Linked DNA regions of Zea mays. Each later gene encodes a partner of the first gene's protein in a complex. Links are inferred from orthologs where the notes say so. Each region holds a gene or a part of one and is shown on either strand. Other genes may lie near its edges. The genes, in order: uncharacterized protein LOC100216627, condensin complex subunit 2 and structural maintenance of chromosomes protein 4.

Evidence for each region.
Region 2: uncharacterized protein LOC100216627 (region 1) and condensin complex subunit 2 share a complex: the UniProt entries of both Arabidopsis thaliana proteins name them as parts of the condensin complex. The link is inferred for Zea mays from reciprocal best matches to the Arabidopsis thaliana genes AT3G57060 and EMB2795.
Region 3: uncharacterized protein LOC100216627 (region 1) and structural maintenance of chromosomes protein 4 share a complex: the UniProt entries of both Arabidopsis thaliana proteins name them as parts of the condensin complex. The link is inferred for Zea mays from reciprocal best matches to the Arabidopsis thaliana genes AT3G57060 and SMC3.

What each region holds. Positions count from the first base shown.
Region 1 is NC_050102.1:180,182,848-180,186,598, forward strand, and holds the start of uncharacterized protein LOC100216627, read right to left. Parts: upstream 2,829-3,751; 5' UTR 2,789-2,828; coding exon 2,641-2,788; intron 1,980-2,640; coding exon 1,654-1,979; intron 1,569-1,653; coding exon 1,408-1,568; intron 1,328-1,407; coding exon 196-1,327; intron 116-195; coding exon 1-115. UniProt on the Arabidopsis thaliana protein: Essential protein. Regulatory subunit of the condensin complex, a complex required for conversion of interphase chromatin into mitotic-like condense chromosomes.
Region 2 is NC_050098.1:234,339,351-234,343,101, reverse strand, and holds the start of condensin complex subunit 2, read right to left. Parts: upstream 2,643-3,751; 5' UTR 2,558-2,642; coding exon 2,273-2,557; intron 2,183-2,272; coding exon 2,081-2,182; intron 1,953-2,080; coding exon 1,835-1,952; intron 235-1,834; coding exon 164-234; intron 86-163; coding exon 25-85; intron 1-24. UniProt on the Arabidopsis thaliana protein: Regulatory subunit of the condensin complex, a complex required for conversion of interphase chromatin into mitotic-like condense chromosomes.
Region 3 is NC_050101.1:167,824,709-167,828,459, reverse strand, and holds the start of structural maintenance of chromosomes protein 4, read right to left. Parts: upstream 2,757-3,751; 5' UTR 2,486-2,756; coding exon 2,345-2,485; intron 994-2,344; coding exon 904-993; intron 239-903; coding exon 137-238; intron 50-136; coding exon 1-49. Other genes in the region: uncharacterized protein LOC101027244 precursor, read left to right, coding at 3,244-3,447, 3,529-3,744. UniProt on the Arabidopsis thaliana protein: Central component of the condensin complex, a complex required for conversion of interphase chromatin into mitotic-like condense chromosomes.

The DNA.
Region 1 (3,751 bases):
AATCAATGGCAAGGTCTAACAAACTTTTTGCTGTTTCTATTGGACTTTTCCTTGTGTATAAAGTAATGAATGCACTCTCCACTGCCTCATATATTGACTTATCCTGAGAAAACACCTGAAAAATCCAAAGGGCCAAGGAACAATTAACAAATACAAAACAAGCACAAATACCAGACAGAGTTTTTGGGATATTACCAGAGGTAACATTTTCCTGAGTGCTGCTTCTGATCCTTCGATCTGAAACTGTCTGCATCTCATCAGTAAAAGGATGGTGTTCTCAACATCAGTAGCTGAGGATGACGCCAACAACTGAACAAGAATTGGCATTAACGAAGTTATACACTTTGAAAACCGCAGACCAGCTTCAAGTGAAGCAACTAAAGCTCTTATTTGTTCCAAGTTTGTTATATCCACAATCGTAGCATCACGGTCATTTTGATCCTGACTTGATGCTAAACAGCTATCACTGACACTTTCATCTTGCCCCATGATCACTTCACCAGGCGAACTATCATTTGCGGCCTCATCTTTGTCTGAATTTGAAGGCTCCATTCCTTGTAATTTTTCCTTGTACTTTTCTAGAGTTGCCTCAAAGGTTGCAGTCCTTAACTGAGGCCCAAAAGGGTTGTGTTGCAGCATTGTTATAAGAAGCTGTAATGCTGATTTTCTCACAATAGCACTTTTGTCCTCCAGTCGCCCTGAAGCAACGGAAGCCACTTCATTCCACAGGCCAATTGAAATAGAATTTTCTTCACAAAGCTCAGACCACACCTGAAGCACACGACTCCTTGTGTATGCTGACACATCCCTACAGCGCTCAATCAAAATCTCCAGCATAGCCTGCTTACTTCGAAGCCGAGCATTGCTATCACCCTCAACATCCTTGAAAGCCTTTGCAGCCAGCTTTCCCAAAACTCCAACAAGAGCATTTCTGATCTTATATGACTCACCACCAAAGTGAGGTATCAGAACACCAATGTTGGTTGACATAAGTTTTGGCAAGCGGTCTGCAAGTTCTACAAGGAATCTCCCAACATTATCCGCACCAACACTATCTCTCGTGTATTCTTTTGGATCAGCCCGACCTATTTCCCTAATCAGGGAAATTGCAAGGCTTCCATCACCAAACTTTTTCTCCGCAGAAGCAACTGCTTCCGCAAGATGAGGAACAGTGAAATCAAATTTGTGTATTAGATGTGAAACAGATGCACTGATTTGAGAAATCCTCTGATGCTTCGTGGCAATTGCTCCAATTATCCGGCACAGGCCATTTCTTGTATCCTCATCTTTTAACACATTTTGATTTTCACAGAGAACAAAAGTACACCTACATGTTATGAAAGTGATGTCATTGCAAAAGATGACTTACTGGAATACTGTAGTCAGTTTCCACTTTCTAAAACTTACTTCGAAACAAAAGAGAGATATCGTTCATCGGTTCCTCCAGGACCAAAAAGTAGCGAAAGGTTAGCTTCAAGAGAATTAGCGACTAGACTCATGATCCTGCCTCTTTGTGCTTCCCAGTTCCAAGAATATATATGGTTCTTCTTTCGACCATGTGCTGTTGCCTAATTGTCATGAAAAAAATAAAGTCAACTAAAAGAACAAGAGCATAAACAATCTGAATAATTGTATCTTCTGCACAAAAATCACCTTAGCCGCTGTGCAGCTTTCAGCGCCAGCTTCCGCGGTGAGAACAATGGAAATGAGAAAGAAGGAGTAGATCTTGAGGGCATTGCGGTGTGAGGCAATGCGGTCAGTGATTTCGGTAGCATCAGAAGGGGATGACATGGATGCCCGGGAAAGTGAGTCTATGCTGGGTAGAAGGACACTGAGGTTGGAGCGCAAGGTCTCAACAATGTTAAACTTAAGGGCTGGGGGTAGGCAATTGAAATCACGCACGATAGAGTAGATGGCATCAAACACCTCCTGTTCCTCAATGCAGAAGAGCTCCTTATCAGAAAGATCAAATGATGCACCTTCAGTTTGAATAAGAATTAAAGAAATAGTGAGTTCACTTAATAAGATTCTTTCATTTAAGAAAAAAAATCTAATTGTACGTTGCCACAAGTTAGAACAGCCAGAATTGTCAAAAGTAAGGCAGAAATTAAGGGGAAAGGTGTATTCCCATCAAACAACAGCTAATATTACAGAGACGGCGATGAAGAACAAAGATTCATGAATAAATAATATAGCAACGTTACGTAGGGCCATCGAGGCAGAGCTTATAATAGCTTTTGCTAGCTGCCCGCACCCACCTTTTCTGATATCAGATCAAGTTTGTTAACACAGCCGCGGAGATACAAGAAGGTTTTAAGATTGGTGGCAAGCAAGTTGAAAAAGGCTTATGTGGAAGTGACAGCGAGCATTTCTCTGCAAACTCGATTATTTACGCTATGCACCGATTTGCTAGAGAAAAAAAGAAGATAGGGTTAGCAGGTTGCCAGCTACATCGAAATCCGAAGCTCCGACTAGTATTACTGACCAGCAAAACCCTATTCCGGTGCAATTTAAAGCCACTAGTTCGTGTTACCATCAAAAATACGAATCCAAACTAGTAATTCTTGGGTACCGGTACAACCCCGACCAAACAACAAACCGCGCGGAAGCTGGGGGATCTGGGGCAGAAGTGGCACGTACCCTTGACGAACTCCTCGAGGTCGGCAGCGCGGAGCGTGGCGACGGCGACGGGGTTCTGCGGCCGGAGCGAGGGCTCCTCGTCTCTGTCTCCGTCGGTGTCCAGCTCCAGATCCCGCAGGGTCGAGGGGAACACGAACGGCGGGGACATCTCGCCCGGCGAGCGGCGGAGGGGGAGGCGCAGGGCTTCGGGTCTGGGCTGGGGAACGGGAGGCGAAGAGTGGCGAGTGTTTCGAAATCGAGAGCGGGAGACGGTGAGTTTTCGTGAGGGAGTCTCTCTGTATGGCGAGAAGGGCCCACGCCTCATGTGGGGAGGTGGGCACCAGCCTTTGAATCGAACCATTTCGGGCATACACCTTTTTCTAAAGAAAATTTTCTAAAAATCAAGAATTGTATATAATCTATTTTCACGTATCGCGGTGTGTAGAGGATCAAAGGATCTACATAATTTAGGGTTTAGAAAGCGGTCAGTTCTTCCCATCACGGTGACTCATCGGTTTTTTGCTTTACATGGATTTATGCGATTTTTACATAAATGGTTTTCATAAAAGTCGGCTAAAAAGCAACATGTTTGACTTTTAGAACCCGTCTCTATCGCTCTGAATCCAATCAGAAGTTGAAACAAACATGACCTTCAATAGGTGCTACAGCGGCTAGCTCGTATTGAGAGGTGATCGTTGATTAGACAAATTGTTACGTGGACTAAAGTTCAGTTTATATCGTGTCAGATATTTGAATGATTATTACGAGTATTAAATATAGTTTAATTATAAAAGTAATCATACAGCTGAAGACTAAACGATTAGATAAATTTACAAAGTGTAATTAATCTATAGTTAACAAACGTTTATTGTAACATCATATGAGTGGACCATAAACAAATTAGGTTTAGTAGATTCGTCTTATCGTTTATGTGTTGTTTGGTTTCTAAGTATTGATTTTTAATCTCTCCATTTTATTTTATTTTAGTGTAAATAAAATAAACGAGGGGCAAGAAAATTAAAATTAATATGGTTGAGTCTCTTTTAGGACACGTTTGGTTCCTTTAGTTAAAGGACTAGGGACTAAAAGTTAGTTAGGTGACTAAAGTTTAGTCCCTTTTAGAGTCATCTCC
Region 2 (3,751 bases), on another chromosome or scaffold:
AGTGAGAATAAACTTGAAACTTACCATCAAATTTCTTTACATTGAGAGCCTCAAATGACGACTCCAACGTTGAAGCAGGTGAAATCTGCACAAATGGAAAGGCATTAACATAATGAAGCAGAATTGAAGTGAAGAACTAAGTACTCCATTCAAAATGTTGTACCCTCCTATCAGCATCCTTTTTATTGATTGCTTCATCCTGTGCAGGTTCAACATTGCTGCCTTCCTCCAAATCTTTAATGGCAACAACCAACTCAGAGCATCATCATGAAACAGCATTACATTATCTAAGGATAATACTGTAAAACAGGAGTGCAAATAGGGATGGCAAGGTGGATTTGGATCAGGTGGAGACTGTGGACTTGAACCCAGAACCCAAAACCACCCCAAACACCGTTTCAGGTGATAATCCAAACCCAAAACCAAACCCAGTGGATCCAAAAAAACCAAAAACCACCACTATATAGCAATATACAAAAGACATTAAGGAATTTCTAGTAACTCATGCATGATACATATTACATATTCACATATATAAGCAAAAGGCAATAAAGAACAAATAATTTCATGACTCAACTTAGAATAAACTTAATAGCTTACATAAACAAATTATTAACAAAACAAATGAGTTTTTACTTAAAATGTACTATTTTGGACCTCCATTATACATCCGCGGGTGGAAACCAAACCCAATAAAATTTGGGTCCCTAAACCCGAATCCACTGGACCCAAAATCATGCAGAGCACTGACCCAAAACTGCCACAGTGCCATCCCAAAGTGCAAAACAGTGCTTCTCAAATTTTAAGCACAAAAACAGTAAGAAAACAGCAAATGTTCCCAATTTCATAAACAGTGTTTTGCAGAAGGTTCATAATCTGTGAGTGCACAGGTTGTGTAAAGCTGTGTAACATATCAATGTAAGTTGATCAATTTCACCCAAGGAATACCAAAAAACAGGACAGTTCTAACATGGGTAACAATGAAAAGGTTTTAAAACATATTTAATCTTCCAATCAAGTTAGTGCCTGTTTGGAAGCATGTCGGTTTTTAAGAAACCATTTGCTATAAACTCGTTTTTAAATAAAAATTGGGTGAGGGTGTTTGGAACCCGGTTTCTAAGAAACCAGTTTCTAGTTTTTTGCATATGCATTGACTAGCCTAACCTTCCTCTATTTTAAAAAGTGGTGGCAATAGATGTAAATTCCATGAAATAAACAAGGGAATAATGTTATTAAACAGACAAAATTTGGTTTTAGCTAGGGGATGCAGGCTTCTTGGTTTTTAAGAAACTAGGAATCCAGTTTCTATAAACTAGAAACTAGGACATGAACTAGTATTGTTTGGAAGTACTCCGGTTTCATAAACCAGTTTCTAAAAACTGGGTGCTTCCAAACAGGCCCTTAGAACAGTGACCTTTCCATTAACTCATAAAACCACACTGCATGCCAACTTAGGGGTGTTTGAGATTATAATCCCAAACAAACACCCCCTTACTTTAGAGTTTTTAACTCAAGTTTAGTGATACCCAGCATAGACCAATTTGCACTGGATGAAGACAAAAAGCAAAAAAAAAAGTGCAGTTTTTTTCCTTTCTCCAAATCTTTTTCGTCAAGCACCAAACCAGAAGACCATAATGAAGCAGCATAGATTTCCAGCAAAATCATGAACCTATCATGTATAGGTCATTCTTTTTGAATTTGTAACTCGAGCAATTCAGCCATACTCGGCATAAGAGCATGTAATTTGCACTGGATACAGCTCCCTAATAAAGAAGTAAAACTGCAATCAAAGTGGTACACATCAGAATCCATTAAAATTCCAGTGCACCCTCACCAGCCTCTTCACCCCTTCCGGCACGGTTTATCCCACCAAGCACCTTGTAAGCCTCGGAGTGCACTGAATCCACACGAAGTGAATATATCTTGACCCCCGCCTCCAGTGTGCAGCTTGCCTGTTCCATAAAAGTACCACATTATTGCCAACAAATTCAAATACAGTAGACGAATCTCCCTCTAGACAAATTTGTACTAAGAAGGCTACAAAGAGAGGAGGAAATGGGAGATCTTTGCAGGTCGGTACCTTCTGAAAGTTGGTCTCCTCGTCCTCGTCCACCCCCGCTTGGATGATCTCGCTGAGATGATCGATTAGGCCTAGCTCCCACGTGTTCTTCTGGTTAATTTTCTGCCGAAATTTCCCCAGAAAGAACGCAACGAAGAAGCTTAGCGAGAGGAATGGAGCGGGCTAGGTTTAGGAGGCGGGCTAGGCACCTACGTTCTCCGATGCGAGCTTGATACAGTTATGGAAGAGGTCCATGACCTGCTCGCGGTTGAGGAGGTCGTGGCGCGGGTCCTTGGAGGGCGCAATGGAGGCGGCGAGGGATCGGCGGCGGACGGAGGCGGCACGCGCCGCCGCGCGGGCGCGGGCGCGTTCTTGCTGGTCGTCATTGGATCCGAGCGGGAACGCTGGAGGCGGAGACTGCAGCAGCACCCGCGACCCGGCCGCCGTCCAGCGCGCGGGAGGGGGGGTCTGCGGTGGGGCGTCCTCGGCCGGCGGCATCTCGTGCGGTCGACGGCGGCGGCGGAGCGGAACGGGACAGGATGGATAGAGGGGGTTGGGTAGGGAAAATTTTGGACCGTCGTTCGGGATCCCTCCCAGTCGTGATTTCAAATTTTGGGGGCGGATGCGCTGCGGTGCGGGAGCGGGGCCAGGGATGGGGTGGGTACTGTTGCTTTGGTTGAAAAGCAAGTAGAACGGAACGGTTATGTTCTAGTTTTGTTGTTATTTGATTACAAAGTAACTAGAACGGAGTAGCTCCAATTAAAGAATATTCTCCTTAGATTCAGAACCATCCTACTCCAAAAAATCAATGGGACGGAGCTGCTCCGTTTCCAGCTCGCTCACACAGCTCGCCCTCCCATCCGTGCGCAGCAGCTCACGCGCCTCCCTCTGCAACCAAACAAAAAATAGAGCCGCTCTGTTCCAGTTCACTCTACAACCAAACAAAAAATAGAGTCGTTCCTTTCCAGCTTACCAAACATAGAACAGAGCGCCTCCGTTCTAGAATCAGGGATCGAACAGCTCTGTTCTACTTGTCTCCTCAACCAAACACTACCTTTGTACTCCTTTTGTGAATTTCTTTGTGCGTCAAACGTCCCTCCAACTCAATTGTGCACAGCTTTCGTCAACTGCTCCTTCCACTCGCGCTGACGCCTACGTGTAACCGTGGCTCCTCTTCCTTGAGACCCTGCCCATTTCAAACTCACCCTTCCCCTCGCCCCCGGCCCCCACTATCTAGATATAGCCAAACGGTTAGAAAACCGGGCCAAAACATCCAAACATGTTGGCTCGTTTTCTTATCCGAGTCTGGCCCACTGCGGGCCTAAACGGATCGGACCGAGTCGGTAAGCACGAAAAAAGCGGGCTGAAAACAAGCTAAGTGGGCTGCTAAGCACGGTTTAGTGCAAAAAAAGGGCTTGACGGACTTAGAGGTAAACGAGTCGTGTCGGGCTAGCCCGTGGGGCTTAGTTTCCTGTCTGGGCCCGGCCCGCTTATTCATGTCGGGCTGGCCCAGGCCCGTATAAAAGTAGGCCAAACCGGGCTCGCATCGGGCCAAAAAACATGCTTCGGGTCGAGCTTTCATGCTAAAGGCTTTCTGTACATCTATACCGCTATCGGGTGCACCCTCCCCCTTGCTCATTCGATCATGCGCGAGCGTTGTCCTGCGTCGTGTCCCTTTACTCCTCATCCTCG
Region 3 (3,751 bases), on another chromosome or scaffold:
TTGAGATGACAAAGTCACTACCCTCAACAGCACTGTAGTTCCCATCATCCTGCTTACAGGCACAGAAAAAAGTAAAATGATTATTGGCAGTACAAATAAGAAATGTCGAAAACTCAACCCAAGCTTCAAACAATACCATGTCAATAATTTCTTGAAAATGAACAGAAACACCAGCACTGTCTAGGTTCTGATGATTGGAAGAATTGTGTATGAGCTCGGAGACCTTGTTTAGGCGCATCTGCAGTTGATGGAAGAACAAGAGAAATACAAAATTATCCTAAGTAATGATAGCGACTAACAATGTATTGGATCAATTTTATTTCCGTATATGTTCCTTGTGAAATGGTAATCCAGTGGGGTTTGTATCTCAAACGTTATTTTTACTTTCTTTAAAAGCAGAGATATTGGTAAGGAAAAAATGAATCTGATCACTTGTACGAATGAATTTGTGAAAATTGCATTGTCCATGTAAAGTTCAAAGGGAAAACAGGTAACAGTAACGAGAAACTAGTATGCACAGTACATTTAGCAGACAGGAACTCTAAAGTATCAACTTCAAAACACAGACTACTTGGCAACCATAGGATTAATACGATTATTATCTAAACCAAGAGGATTAATACAATTGAAGCATCAATGTGCTAGGTTCTAGAATAATCCTTTCACATAATACTTAGGATGATAATTTATATGTTTACAAACTTAAATGGCAGGATATTACTCTCAGGCTTTTAAATTATTGTGGAACTTAGAGTGACATGCTAGAATCTACCATTGGATAGGCTATAAACAAATCGAATGATTTGTTGACATAGAACAAATAACATAAAATCTCCCGGTGAAATGAACTAAATGAATATAGTGATAATCACTAAAAAATCAACATTAAGCAACAATACCAACCTGCTTTGCACGCTTCCCAAACACAAAAAGCATTGCGTCAATGACATTACTCTTTCCACTGCCATTTGGACCAACAACAGCCGAGAAGCTCTGCAGTCAAGATAACAAATTATGTTTCTATTGTTTTGTCTTTAATCGTTGTTCAATCGGTACATAATACATTTGGGGTAAAATGGAATTATTTCCATCTGTTAAACATGAGCACTATTACACGACCTTAGTGTGTAATATCTGTATCCTGAAGGACTATTATTTGTTTGTGTTTGATTATAACTATGTTTTTCTCAAATTAGATTGAGAAGAGTGTGTCCTCAGAAATCCTGGTATGTTTTTCTAATGACTCGTTTAGGAGGGCTTCTCACGAAATGTCTCCGGCTACTAGGGAAAATGTGCACTGTATCAGGGGGCCATTTTCTCTCTCTTTACAAAATGAACTAGAAGTCAGTGAAGCCAGAAAAAAGTCTTCACCAACTCTGGCTCTGGCTCTTTTAGATACTATAGCAAGGAGCCAAAGCCCTAAGAAGCTCTCCCAAACATGCTCCAATCTATGCTTAGATCCAGTTATACTTTTATTATATAAATTGTAATACTTTCTGCAGAGATGAAGGATCAGTTACTCTAGGAGGCAGGAGCATAGCTTTAATAAAATGGGAGAGCAACTCCACACCAGATTTGAAGAAGGAAAGGGGGTTGAGGAAAAAAGCTGCTTGCTCCCCTCTATTTGAGGGATTGAGAAAAAACATAGGGAAGGGGGGTTGAGAAAGGGGATCTTCTGGAGCATTTTTTTCACATCATTCCCCTATATGACAGCTTTTATGGAGAGGGGATTGTTTTCCTAAATGTGGTGAAGTTGCTCAAGTGAAAGCTAAACCATGAGTTTGGCCGTAACATCGATACTTCCTTAGATATGCAAGCATAATCATAACAAAATATATAGAACTGAATGGAAGACCTCTCTTCTGCAAGTACAAATTCTATTTGTGTTGTATGTTTATGTATCACAGTCGAAAGTGATATCTGTTAACTATTGTACCAGTAAAACAAAGTTGTTAGAATGACAACTCTACAGTGTGAACTGTACCCTAGGGTTTGGAATTAAAGCCACACCTACACTCACATGTAAGCCCCAATAATAGCTACAGAAATTCCACTGCGATTTCTCGGATCAAGTCTTGACCGCCACTAGCAACCACAAATAAACATCCATCTTGCCGTTTCTTTATCGGGAACAATGACATAAATTGAGAGTGGGGCAGAATAGCAAAATTGAAGCTATGACATAGTGCACAAGTAGATTAAGTTTCGATAGGCACATGCTGATGTAAATGAATTACAATAATGCGAACTTCGTTCGTAGGATTTCTAAATCTAAACAAATTGTTAGCACCCACGAGTGGGCGTGTGTGAGTGAGTGAGTGAGTGAGTGAGAGGGGGGGGAGACCTTGTGGAAAGGACCGATGCGCTGCTCCCCTGCGTAGGACTTGAAGTTGCGGAGGACCATCTCCTTGATGAACAGTCGCGGCTTCGCCGCCCTACGCGGCGTCCGCGGAGGCGACTGCCGCGGGGACATCTCCATGGCCATCTCAGTATTCGAAAATGCAGCAGCAAGCGAGGGATTGCGAGCGTCACCGCCCCGCCCCGCCCCGGCGAGATAGAGGTCACCCGCCTGATACTCTGCCGCTCTCCCTAGCCGAGCACAGAAGCGGAATCGAGGCAGCGAGGAAGGCACAGGGTGGTTGCCGGGAAGGGGAAAGTTGGAGCGCCTGCGAAGGAGGATGGATTTAGATATTTGGGGCAAGTTTGGGAGGGAAAACTGAAACGGTGCGAGGGTTTCGTCCTCGCGCTGCGGAATTTGAAGGTGTTTCAGGCCAGAAAAATATGAAATGGAGTATCATTTAGTTGGACTGGGCTTTTTCGCTAACTTTGGCTGATAGGGTACGGTCTTGCGTTAGCCCATGCATGCGCACCAAATGTTGGGCTGTTTCTAGGTATGCTCTGGTTTCAGGCCCGTACGCAAACTGTTGCGGACAAAAAAAAATCAGAGTTATTAAAGCCTGAAGCTGTTTGAAGCGCTCCCCGCGTTTCGTGGTCGCGTTTTTGCATAAAGGCCCTCTGTCTTTTCGCGATTTAGCTCGTGGCCCTTGCTCGAACACCTGTCCGCGTGTGGCACGTAGGCCGGACCCGATTTTTTCTTCAATCAAGCTCTGAGCGTCTCCTCTCTTGCCTGTTGTCCACTTCCCTCTCATCCTCTCGACCTCGCTTCCTCCCTCCCATCGTGCCCTGCCTTTTCCTCACGACCTCGCCGCCACGCTCGCGTCTCGCCGCTGATTGCGGTCCCCCATGGAGTCGTTGTTCCATCGTCTTCCTGTATTTGTGCTGCTGATATGTGTAACTTGTGTTTCTCCAGGTGAAGGCGGTCGAGCACGCGACCGAGATGGAGGCGACGGTGGCTGCCGCGGAGGCCGAGGAGGAGGAGGCTGCTGCTGCGGCTTCGACGCCGCAGCGGTCTGGGAGGAAACGGCCCCGCGCGATTGGGAGTGGGCGGTACCGCTCGGTCTCCAGGTTCTCCCCTGCTTTCCTCATCCTGCTGCCGCTTTACGTTTTTGCTTTTAATCGCTGTGACAGCATAGCACTCGCCTCGTCTCGCTGTCGGCTGCCGCTGGTGATCCTGCTCCCTGTGGCATTGGCCCTAGCCAGCAGGCAGGCAGTCGGCCAGGGACGGATGGACGGAGACGACGGATGGAAGCCGCAGCCACTAGCCAGCCACACCGCAGACCGCGCATGCAGGAGAAAGAAGCGGTGTTTGCATGGACTGGGATTGCCGACTTGACTGCGGATTGACGGGGAC